Linked DNA regions of Arabidopsis thaliana. The protein of the gene in region 2 purifies or fractionates together with the protein of the main gene of each other region. This does not show direct contact. Each region holds a gene or a part of one and is shown on either strand. Other genes may lie near its edges.

Region 1 (5,820 bases), on a different chromosome or scaffold from region 2:
ACCCTAGCAAAAACGGACATCAACGGAGACTAGACTTAAACTAAACAACCAGAAACTCGATTTCGCTAAAACCTTAACGAAATTTCAAATGTCACAAACCTAGAATCTAGAAACGAAGACTGTAAAACACAGATTCAGGCTCTCACGCGTAGAGATTTCGTTTTGAGAAAAACTAGGGTTCGCAAATCGCAATGTACGTACCTTGTTCAACTTAATAGAAGGATTCGCGAGATGGTAAAGGAAGCTTGAAGAATCTGGAGGAAGAAGAAAGAAATTACAAAGAGAAACTTGGCGGAGAAGAAAGATAAGAGAGATAGAGATGGTTTTCGCGGTTAGAAGAAGAAGGTCACCACCATGGGCTAGAGCTTGGAAAGAGTAGAAACGAACGACCGAGAGGTTCAGAATCAGTTGCGTCAACCGATATGGGTCCACCTTTACTCCTTGTTTTTATTTTTATTTATCAACATTTCATTTTTCTTTTTAATTCACAGATTTTTAAAATAAATCACGAATATTAATTTTTTGGTATTATAGTATAACATGCAAATGTGGTGGTGATTTCTTTTTAACTTTTTCAAAAAAAAAAGTTGATTTATAAAACCAAAATCGAAAAATACACTACTTTATTTCAAATTCAAAATTTTTTTGGAGAAAAGTATTGAAAACTTGTTAAAAAAGTGTTTATCGAGTAATAAATTTAGAAATTTGGTTAAATGGTGTGTGAGTGAAGAGTAAAACCGTTCTATACCTTCTACCTAATTTCTGCAATAAGTACACTTAAAATTAAAACCGGATTTCAAATTAAAACAGAGCAACTGACATAAGCAACTTTTATTTAATGGTTTTCTAACTACATAACGTAAGAGACTTGAAGAAACCATCATAAAAAGTAGAAGTGGTCATAAAAATTACATAAGCGTTTTTGATAAACATCAACAACAACTCCTAAAAAGCCTAAGGAGACAAAATAGAATAAGAGACACAACAGTCTAAAAAAAACACGAGGGAACAAAGAACAAAGCTGCCTACACAGATATGGACGATGGAGAGAGATGGGAAGCATGAACAATGGTAACATCCTAATTCACTTTACAGACATTACCCTACCTCTCCTTGTTGTTTGGTTAGAGACACAATCATCATCATCAGTTCATCACATTGTTCTTTTTGTTTTTCTCCTGCAAACACCCTTATAAGATTAAAAATTTCATGTAACACACAACAAGTAAACCCACCACTTGCTAGCTTTTTATGTCAAGGCTTTATCTTTAGAACAGAGCTTCTTGCATTGCCTCTGCTTCTGTCTGTCCTTGACCCTCTGCTTCTGGTTCGGTTTCAAGGTGTTCCTCGTCTGGCAGCTGCACTTCTTCCATGTGCTTTGGCTCGTTTGTTGTCTCTGCTATCCCTTCCAGGTCCTGTATGGCTTGAACCACTGCTTGATTTCCACTTCCTCCTATCTCGGATTTCAACACAATTACAATATCCTTAGCTCTCGCTTGCTGCATAAATGAGATATCAAAACCAAGCATAAGCAATTAAGTATCAAAACCAAGGACGGACCATATTGTGTTTCTGTTCATTAGATTACTTACAAACAACTCAAACTTCTTCTTCAGTTCTCCATAGTCACCATCTTGTCGTCCAGAAGCTCCCACTGACACCGCATTCTATGTTTATAAATGGCAATAATATAAATGTAATTAGATAACTAACTCATCAATATAATAGACAAAGAAATTCTAGTGGACTTGGAAATACACAAACTCTTGAACTTTGACTGAATTAACTAAATTTCTGCTTAAAACAGACAAAACTTGATAAGATGTCTGTCTCAAAAGATAAGTTCATATGTAATTCTCACACTTCAACTGAACAATTATTGGTTGCTAAAGCGAGCCACCTACCAAGTTGCTCTTGATTACCAAACAAAGAGATATCTTAGATTAATAGTACACCACAAAACCAGATTAAGTATAGGCCAAAAGCAGAGACACGAATATAAATTAAACTCTAGAATTTATTTAGTTAGATACTCTCTAGTCTCCACACACACGCTCGAAAGAGACAATGTTGAGAATGGAAAGTGACATTTATTCACAAGACAAAAGTTCCAACTTTTATTCTCTTATCTATTTGACTAGAAATATTCAAGTTCTCTATAATCACTGTGTAATCGCAGAGACAAAAAGGAATGATATTTTACCTTTCTGGGTCTTCCTACGGGTTTTCCAGTACGAGCAAAGCTTCTCATCGGCTTCATAGGCTTCCTGATAACACCTCCAATCTTAGGAGGCCGTCCTCTTCCTCGTTTCTTGACTGCAACCTCCTCTCCTCCACTCTCTACGTTAGTTGGTGGTGGTGGTGGTGGAGCAACAGAGGAAGCACCACCAGCGTCAACTCTCTTTGGTCTCCCTCGGCGTCTAACACCACCATTAGCAACATACGGGAACACTGAAGCTGGAGCTGAGACTACTATAGGCTTTCTCTCCCTCCCAGCAGCTCTTCCACTCGGAGGTCTACCTCTTCGTTTCACAGTCTCCACACCACCGGAAACAGAAGCAGCTGGCTTCACCGTCGGCGAAGTTCCATCTTTTCTAGGACGACCCGGCGGTCTCTTAACCGGCTGCTGTGGCTGTAACGGTAACTGTGGCGGCTGTATCTGTATCTCCTCTGGTCGAGAGACAGGTAATTCACTCTGTTCCCAGGTGAGTTTTCCATTAGTCAGAGGTTGAGGTTGAACAACATCTGGTTTAGCTTTTGGAGGTCGACCACGACCACGTTTAATAGTCTGAGGAGTAGAAGAAGCCAAAACCGGATCAGGTAAAGGTTGGTTCTCGTTGACTATGAAATCAGATCTGGGAGGTTCAAGACTAGGAGCTACACTAGTAGGAGGAGGAGGAGGAGGAGTAGAAGCAAGCTTGTAAGATTTCTTAACCATGACAAGAATCCCACTGGTCTTCAAAGTCTTGAGATGGTGTGTCAACAAAGCTCCATGAGCAGTAGGAATCCCAGTGTAAATTCTCTCTATGTACCTCGAAATAGCTTGCTTGCTTGACCCATCTGGTTCGTTTAACGCTGCAATCGCCGTGCAAATCATCTAATCAACGAAAAAAAAAAGTGAGTGGAAATTAAAAACCCTAACTTTAAAGTCAAAATGTAAGAATGAGCTAAGAAGAGCTTACGTCAGAGTAAGGAGGGTGGGAAATAGATGGATGAGGAGGAACTGGAGATGTTTGTGGCTGCTGCGGAGGAGCTGCTTGATAGAGATGGATGTTGTTTGGCGGCGCGACGGCGGTGGGTCCGGTGAAGAAGGGGTGGTTTGGAGAGGCGAAGGGGTTGGTGTTGGTGAAAGGAGGGAAAGATGTGAACTGAGGAGGAGGAGGATGATGAGGATCATTGGTTGCAGAGAGAGAAGGATCCATGGAGGATTTAGTGAGAGAGAAAAAATACAGAGCAAGGAAGGTGATGAGATTTTTGATTTTTAGTTTTTTTTTTTTGTTTCGGTTGTTTTAATTTTTCAGATAAAATTAAAAAAGTTTTGTGGAAGGAGAAGATAAAAAATAAAAAATAGTTAGGTTGGAGGAGAGAGAGTGTGTGTAGTAGTGTAAGAGAGAGATCGAAAATGACGACAGATGAGATAGTTAAAATCTGACCGTTGAAAGTGTATTTTGGTGCTGATTTACGACACGGATCGATGACGTGGCGTTTTTTGCTTTTGTTATTAAAATTGAGTTTTGTGTTTCTTTCAATTTTTTTTATATGTTTTTCTGCTTCTCTATTCAAGTACCATATTAAACTATATGTAAACATTTTTTTTCTAATTCTGAAAGTTTTTAAACATGCTTTCATTTCTTTATACTAATAAATTTCTAGAACAAGATTTTTTATACTAAATTCTCTACTTAATATCGGTTTACAAAAAAAAATGTATATTTCTAACCAATCAGTTTTTCATATTCTTTATGTTTTAACATTTACTTGGATTATATGATGTGCACTAACACCTTCTTCATTTTCTTGATCACTATCTCACTCTAATTCAAAAAAAAGAAAAAGAAAATCTCCAACAGTTAAAAAGTGCTATTATAAACACGTTAATACTGTTTTAGGTAAAATAAAACTCAAATTTTAATTCACTTTTTGTTTTAAATTTTTAATAGCTAATTTTATTGACTTTTTGAAATAAGACACTTCGTTAAGTTGCTTAACGAAATAAATTTACAACGCTAAATTTTCATCGAGATTCTTTGTTAAACTACGCAAAATGACACTAATATGATTTAAAAAAATTAAGCTCAGAAAATATATTTGAACTCCTTATTCATTTTTCAATCCATATATACATAACCAATAAAGGTAAGTTGAATTTTTTCACACCACAAACATTCAAATTTATATTCTTTAATATAAACTTTCTAAAATAAAAAGTTTAGATTTAAATCACCATAGTCTAATTGGGTTACTCTCTCGTCATGGCTGATTTAAATTCTCTTGTATAGCCTTTTCATTTTGTGTTTCTTTCAACTTTTTGTTTTGTTATTCTAATTCTCTATTCATGTACCATAATAAATTATATATAAACAATTTTCTTATCTAATTTTGAAAGTTTTCAAAAAAGTTTTCATTTTTTATATTTAAAATTTTTCTAGAATAAGATTTATAATTTCATTATCTACATTTATAACAAATCATTTTTTCATATTCTTAATGTTTTAACATTTATTTGGATTATGATGAACATTAACACCATCTCATACTATGTCCTCGTAAATGGCACTTCCTATGAAAATTGGAAGCTTTCATGGAGAATTCGACAAAAGCGATGATTTGTCTTCATATATTTTTATTCTATGTGCAGAGATTTTAAGTCAACTGATCATCAAAGTTGAAACAAATGGTGGCATCGAGAGCATACGCATCGCTCAGTCTGTTCCTACGGTTAATCATTTCTTATTCGCCGATGATTATTTGTGTTTTTGCAAAGTTGCAAAACAAAAACTACTGGTTACAGTATATATATATATATATATATATATATGTGTGTGCCAATTATTATAAGTGTTCAACTCAAAAGGTTAACTATGAGACATTCTTAATAATATTTGAATAAAACGCATATTCATAGAATCCTAGAGATAACAAAAATTGGAGGAGGAAACAAATATTTGAGTTTACTAGAGCAATTTGGAAGAAAACAAACGAATTATTTGAGTTTGTGCAGAATAAGCATGACATCTAAAGGGCCAAGTCTCTATTCTTCACTTGAGATTACGCTAATTGGAGATGTTCAGGGATTCTATGGACTGCTCTATTCAGCCTAACGAATGATCTTAAGTCCAAATCTCAATAACTCCAAATCATTCTGTTACATATATCCGACTTCTACCTTTTGGGATGGTTTGGCGCATCTGGAAATTGAAAAACGATATAATAATGTTTAACCATAAATATTATCAATCTCATAGGTCTACAATGTAACAATGATGTCCACAAATGGATAAATGCCCAAGCTGACTAAAGTCAACAAATGCAACCAGGTCCACCACAACACAAAAATTTGGGCCGAATGTATCATTGATAGCAAGTTGAGAAACCTCTAAACAATGAATATAAGCAAGACACTACTTGGTGAACAAGTATATTACCTTTTAATAAGTAACTAAACAATATTAGCCTTAAATTCCTCAAACTCAATAACCATCATTATATGTATCAGAACTCCTATAAGTATTCCCAATCCGGGTCATCTTCAAATGGAACTCTTTGGCCGTTATCTTTCCATCACCGTCAATATCACAAAGAGCAACGATCTCTTCACTA
Region 2 (5,945 bases):
AACATTTCACGCATAATGTTTCTCTATCGTGACTTTGTCGGCAGGCAAGGACAGTTCTCACATCACTACCAAAAAAAAAAGGACAGTTTTCAGTTCTCACATCCCCAACACAGTTTAAAAGCCAAAATTCAAAATTTCACCCATTTTTCCTTTCAAATACCGATTTTATATAAGAATATTTTTGTATAAACAATTTCCTAATTATTTACGAAGTACAAATCTAAAGCTAAATTACAAACATATAGTACTACAATAATATAAAAATTAAAATAATAAAAATGAAAGCGGCAATCAAGGATCCGATATAAATTCCAACAGCAAAGTAGTCAGTCAGGTGGTGCTGGGCACATGTGACATTGGCCCTACTTGGCTTTGCTTCATCCAAAACTATGCATTTCATGCTGGACCGGATTCAATTATGTTTCTTTTTCTTACTTTATACCGATTTCACACTCACAGTCTCTCACACACAAGTCTCGTGCATGAACCAGAATAATTGAGAACAAAAAAATAATATACATATAGTTTATTTGGAGTTTCTGATATATCAAAAATATAAAACTAAAAGACGCTAACATAGGCAAAAAGTTGCAGTAATTAAATAAGGAAATACAAAAAAGATAATTTCATATATGAGAAGAAAAAGATAACCAGAAAGAAAAAACACAAAAAATGAAGTAACAATGATAAAGTTTAATAAAAAAAACAATGATAATTATTTAAGAACACTAATAAGAAATATAAGGAGCATAAATATGAGGTTGCTCCATATTTTAATTAATCTATTTATACAACTTTTCCCTGAAAAACGCCTAATTTTCTTCTTTTTAAAATTTTGTTCACCGAAATAAATCTTTCGGAGAATACCCAACCACCAACACGTACATCTCTCTCCAAGAAATGGTCAAACGACGCCGTGTTACATGTTTCTATCAATCGGATAAGTGTTATTGACACGACACGACACCGTTTCGTTTTCGGGTTTTGGCATAAGTGGTGGGCCCCTTTTGAGAACATTCTGAAAAAGAATCAATAGAAGGGAGGCGGCGGAGGAGATGCGTATGATATTCCGGGAATCGGCGGTAGTGGCCCTTCGTAGATTGGAGGTGGTGGTGGTTGGCTGTGGTGTATTACCGGTGGAGGTGGTGGGCTGTAGTGGACAGCCGGTGGAGGTGGAGGTGAATTGTAGTAGTAAACTGGTGGTGAAGGCGGAGGACTGTAGTGCGCCGGTGATGGTGGTGGTGGAGGATTATAATGGACTGTTGGAGGTGGAGGTGGTGAGTATTCTATGCACGGTGGATGTGATTGTGGCGGAGGGGAGTGTATTGGCGTTGGTGGAGGTGGTGGGGATATATAGTGATAAGTAGGGGTTGGTGGTGGTAATGAGTAATGTGGCGGCGGCGGTGGTTGTGGTGAGCTGTAGTAGTAAGGGGCTGGTGGTGGTGGGGATGCAAATTGAGGCGGTGACGGCAAGTAAGGTATAGGGGAAGGAGGGGGAGTGCCGTAAATTGGAGATTGCGGGGGTTGTGATGGAGATGGTTGCGGTGGATAGTATGTTTGCGGCGGAGGAGGTGGCGGTGGCGGGAAGGGAGAATATGTCTGAGGCGGTGGTGGAGGTATTGATGGGGAAGGTGAGAAAGTTGGGGGAGGAGGAGGTGGTGGGGATGGAGGAGAGTACCCTGTAAACGGCGGGGGAGGAGGGTACCCTGTAGACGGCGGGGGAGGAGAGTAAACCGGAGTAGGTGTTGACGGCGGAGGAGACGATGGAGTCGGGCCTACAATGGGAGGACTAGGAATAACAGGCGGTAAAGGAGGACTAGGTGACGACGGCGGAGAAGGGCCGGTGAACGGTGGACTAGGAATAATAGGCGGTGAATTTTGACCAGGTGATATCGGAGTTGGCGGAGTTGATGGCGTAGGAGGACTAGGAATAGGAGAGCTCGGAGTTGGACTAGATGGCGAAGGAGGAGAACCAGGAGATGTTGGGGTTGACGGAGGAGACGGGACAGTGATCGGAGGACTAGGAGAAATAGACGGTGAAGGAGGAGAACCACCGGGAGAAGGTGTTGTCGGCGATGATGGAGGAGAACCACCAGGAGTAGGTGTCGTCGGCGATGATGGAGGAGAACCACCAGGAGTTGGTGTCGTCGGCGATGATGGAGGAGAACCACCAGGAGTAGGTGTCGTCGGCGATGTAGGAGGAGAACCAGGAGATGGCGTAGTTGAAGGAGGAGACGGGACAATAGACGGTGAAGGAGGAGAACCACCAGGAGATGGAGTTGTCGGCGGTGACGGGACAGTGATCGGTGGACTAGGAGAAATAGAAGGCGAAGGAGGAGAACCACCCGGAGACGGAGTTGTAGGCGGTGATGGGACAACAACTGGAGGCCGAGTAGAACGACCACATCCAAAGGAACCACAATCCACCGGCGGAAGAGAAGAGAAAGCCGCACATTGCCCTGGTGATCTCTGCGCAGGTCTCGCCGGCAAACAATTCCGCCGATCATCAAACCCAGGCAACCCAAGACAAACCGGCGGCTCTCCAGTGAAGAAATTATAACTGAAAGTGAAATTCTCCAACCTCGGCAACTGACAAATAGTCGCCGGAATCTTACCAGAGAATCTATTATGCGCCACATTTAACTGCTCCATCGAAACCATCCCGCCAATACTCGCCGGTAACGACCCAACAAGTTCGTTAAAACTGAAATCAAATACCGTTACGTTTTTCAACCGTCCGATCTGCGACGGTAAACAAGAATTAAACCCATTTTCCATGAAGATGATCTCTTCAAGATTCCTCATATCACCCAAACTCGTCGGAATACAACCGTGGAAATGATTATTCGCCACAACAATAACGGAAACCGGAGAATCTCCCAAATTATCCGGTAACTCAAACCGGAACCGGTTATGGTTGATAAAAATCGCATCAAGATCTTTGCTGAAGAGCTCTCTTGGTACAGGTCCTTCGAATTCGTTAAACCTTAGATCCAGAAACTTCAACGACGGTAACTGAAGGACAACAGTAGGGAATATTCCGGCGAACCGGTTATTACTGAGATCAAGCTCGAATAAAAGCTTAAGACGGTTAAACCGATGCGGTACGGTTCCACAAAACCGGTTTGAATTAATATGAAACAAAGCGAGATCTGTTAACAAACCAAGCTCTTGAGGTAGATAACCAGCAATGTCAGCGTGGTTTAGATCTATTCCGGCGACGGTACGGATCCGGCGGTTATCTAAAGCCGGAGCACAGTAAACGCCGGTGTAACTGCAAACATCAGAACCGATCCAGTTTGTTGTGAAGTTGTTTGGATCAGAGAGAATAGCTTGTTTCCAAGCTTGAAGAGCTATGTAAGCATTTCGAAGTCGTGGATTCTCGAAGACTAGAGATGGGTCAACGTCGACATTCTCGCCGCGGTCGCCGAACTCGTCGCGGAAGTAGAGAAGTTGACGTTGTGTGATTAGCCGGACTTCATTGTCGGAGAGATCTCCATTGAAAGTAAGTGAAAGAGAGTAAGAGATACTTGTGAAGAAGAAGGTGATAAAAAGAAGAACAAAGATCAGAGACGTGTTCTTCATCATCATCTTCGTCTTCATTACTTCACATAACAAGACATCAGTGGATTTGAAGGAAGAAGAAGGGTAAAATGGGAAATGTAAGTGAGAATCTCTATAAGTGAAGAAGTAATGTGTGAAGAGGGAATTATAAGTGAGAGAGAGACAGGTCTTTGCACAGCTCAGCCCTATTCATATACTCTTCACTTATTATAACACTGTCTGTTTTACACTGTCAAAAGTGTAATGTTAATTAATTGATGTGTGTCCATGAATTACCTAACAATTATATAAATGTATGATCGACTTTTTGGTTTCTTTTTTGAACTAATCACATGATTGATTATATACGTTACAAATTATAATTGTTTAATGATTTTGGTCAACACTAAAGTTTTGATTAGAGACAATTTACATTGCTCTAGGCATTAGGTAGTTAATTTTGTTTAGCATCATTTCAACTATTAATTATTACTTGCTGATATTGGAAACCTTTTGTGATTAGCCATACATTTGGATTAAATTTTGGTAAAGACTTGTTAATAATTTTGTTTGCATCATGAACTATTCCAATACAACGATTAGTTGCATTGGAAAACATTTATATCTACTAATAATTTTTTGATCAAAGTTTGGTAAATACTACTTGTTACTAATAGGCCATCACACGGTTTTTAATATAAGCATATCCATAATGATGCTTGTGTACAATTTGAATCAGAATATCTAACCGAAGCCAAAAAAAAAGAGCTCCATTGTTAAAAGTTCTCATTTAAAAGAAATTTGAATCTAAATGAACTCAATTATCGTTATCTCTCGCTTGACATGGATTATCAATGTTGTTAAAGCCCATAAAATGAAAATGTTGCTGTGCTTTGTATTTTACAGCTATCATGTCAAACAGTAAGTTAAATGAATTAGTTGAAACTCGTAACTCACGTGTATTCATTTTTTTCTTTTGAGGTGTCACTACTCACTAGTCCAAAACATAAATAAAGTTCAACAGTTAACTGTTCTTATGTCGGAATTGTCTTAAAACGACATGACCCACAGTAATAATATACCTTTATATTTCTCTATATATATTGGATCGACAGAATATGAAATAATGTTTATATTTACCCTTGATGTTATTGCGATTGTCTATAATATAAATTTAAATGCTAAGTTTTTTTTGTATATATGGAATAATGGTTTGCTTCAGTCTTTGTAATTTATAAATTTATAAATTGTGCCAAATGTTTGGCAAAAAACATAAATAATGTGCCAAGTATATTATTTTATGGCGAGTGATTCAATTCATTTTTTATATTTTGTTCCATCCTCTTCTTATACCTTTGCTTGCAAATATGAAAATATGAACTATAATGTGTTATCAATCAGATGTTCCAGTTCATGTAGAGTTGTAGACGCATATAAATTTGGTTTTCTTGATTCATAAATGATTTACGATAAATCATAACAAGTTAAAGTGTTTACATTTATAGATTGGATACTAGTAAGCTGATAAGCTGAGGTTTGAGACACTTAGGAAGATCGTGGGTGTTGTTACGCCGGTTCAAGCGGCATAGTATTTGCTCGCCGAGTAAAGATTAAACTTGTCGTTGCAAGAGTGGGGAAGAGTTAGAGAAAGGCGTGGGTGTGCACGTGGGGAGGATGCAACCGCCGCAAGAGGCGGAGCCGGGAAGTCAAACTTAACCACTTGTTGATGTGAGTACGTGAGTTTGAGGTACGTATAGTAGATAATCTTTTTGTAATATTGTCTAAGTAGAGAAGAGATCATGTTAGGTGTCTTAATGTGTATACGAGAGTGAGACGTAGTAGTAGAGTACCACTACCGACATGATGCATGCCTAAGCTTTTGCTGTTGTCGTCTTATACACATAAGGAATAACAAAAGCTCCAACAAGTCTAGCGACGCTTACTCTTTGTCTATGAATACAGACAAGTTTTTTTCTTATACCATGATTTGTTTTTGTTTATTTGAGTTATTTTTTTCACTGTCGAGTTACTAAAATACTACTAGTTTATACGTTTCATATGAAATTTATGGGTTTTTTTTTTTGCACGACTTAGATATTATTTTTTACCAACTTAAATTTATGGGTTTTTCTTGCCAACATAATTTGTTTTGTTTTATTTTGATTGTTTTTCTGTAAAATTTTAGATGTACTTGTATGATTCAGAAAAGAAGATATTATTTCATTTTTCAAAGTGAAGTATGTCCAAAATAATTTTGTCAGGCACTAGTATTATTCATCTGCGTTTTGTCCGTTTACATATAAACTCAAATATCTACAAACCAAGAGCGATAACATCCAATTTAATAAAGGTTAAAGCACGATTTCACAAAAACCCACCGCGTAGTGATTAGATTACACGTA

The links.
Region 1: the proteins of AT4G18670 (region 2) and HON5 fractionate together in Arabidopsis thaliana (co-fractionation; one large-scale study listed by BioGRID). This does not show direct contact.

What each region holds. Positions count from the first base shown.
Region 1 is NC_003070.9:17,972,880-17,978,699, forward strand, and holds HON5 (high mobility group A5), read right to left. Parts: upstream 3,785-5,820; 5' UTR 3,423-3,784; coding exon 3,183-3,422; intron 3,098-3,182; coding exon 2,204-3,097; intron 1,668-2,203; coding exon 1,593-1,667; intron 1,500-1,592; coding exon 1,269-1,499; 3' UTR 763-1,268; downstream 1-762.
Region 2 is NC_003075.7:10,274,889-10,280,833, forward strand, and holds AT4G18670 (Leucine-rich repeat (LRR) family protein), read right to left. Parts: upstream 3,907-5,945; 5' UTR 3,604-3,906; coding exon 1,030-3,603; 3' UTR 574-1,029; downstream 1-573. UniProt on the Arabidopsis thaliana protein: Modulates cell morphogenesis by regulating cell wall formation and assembly, and/or growth polarization.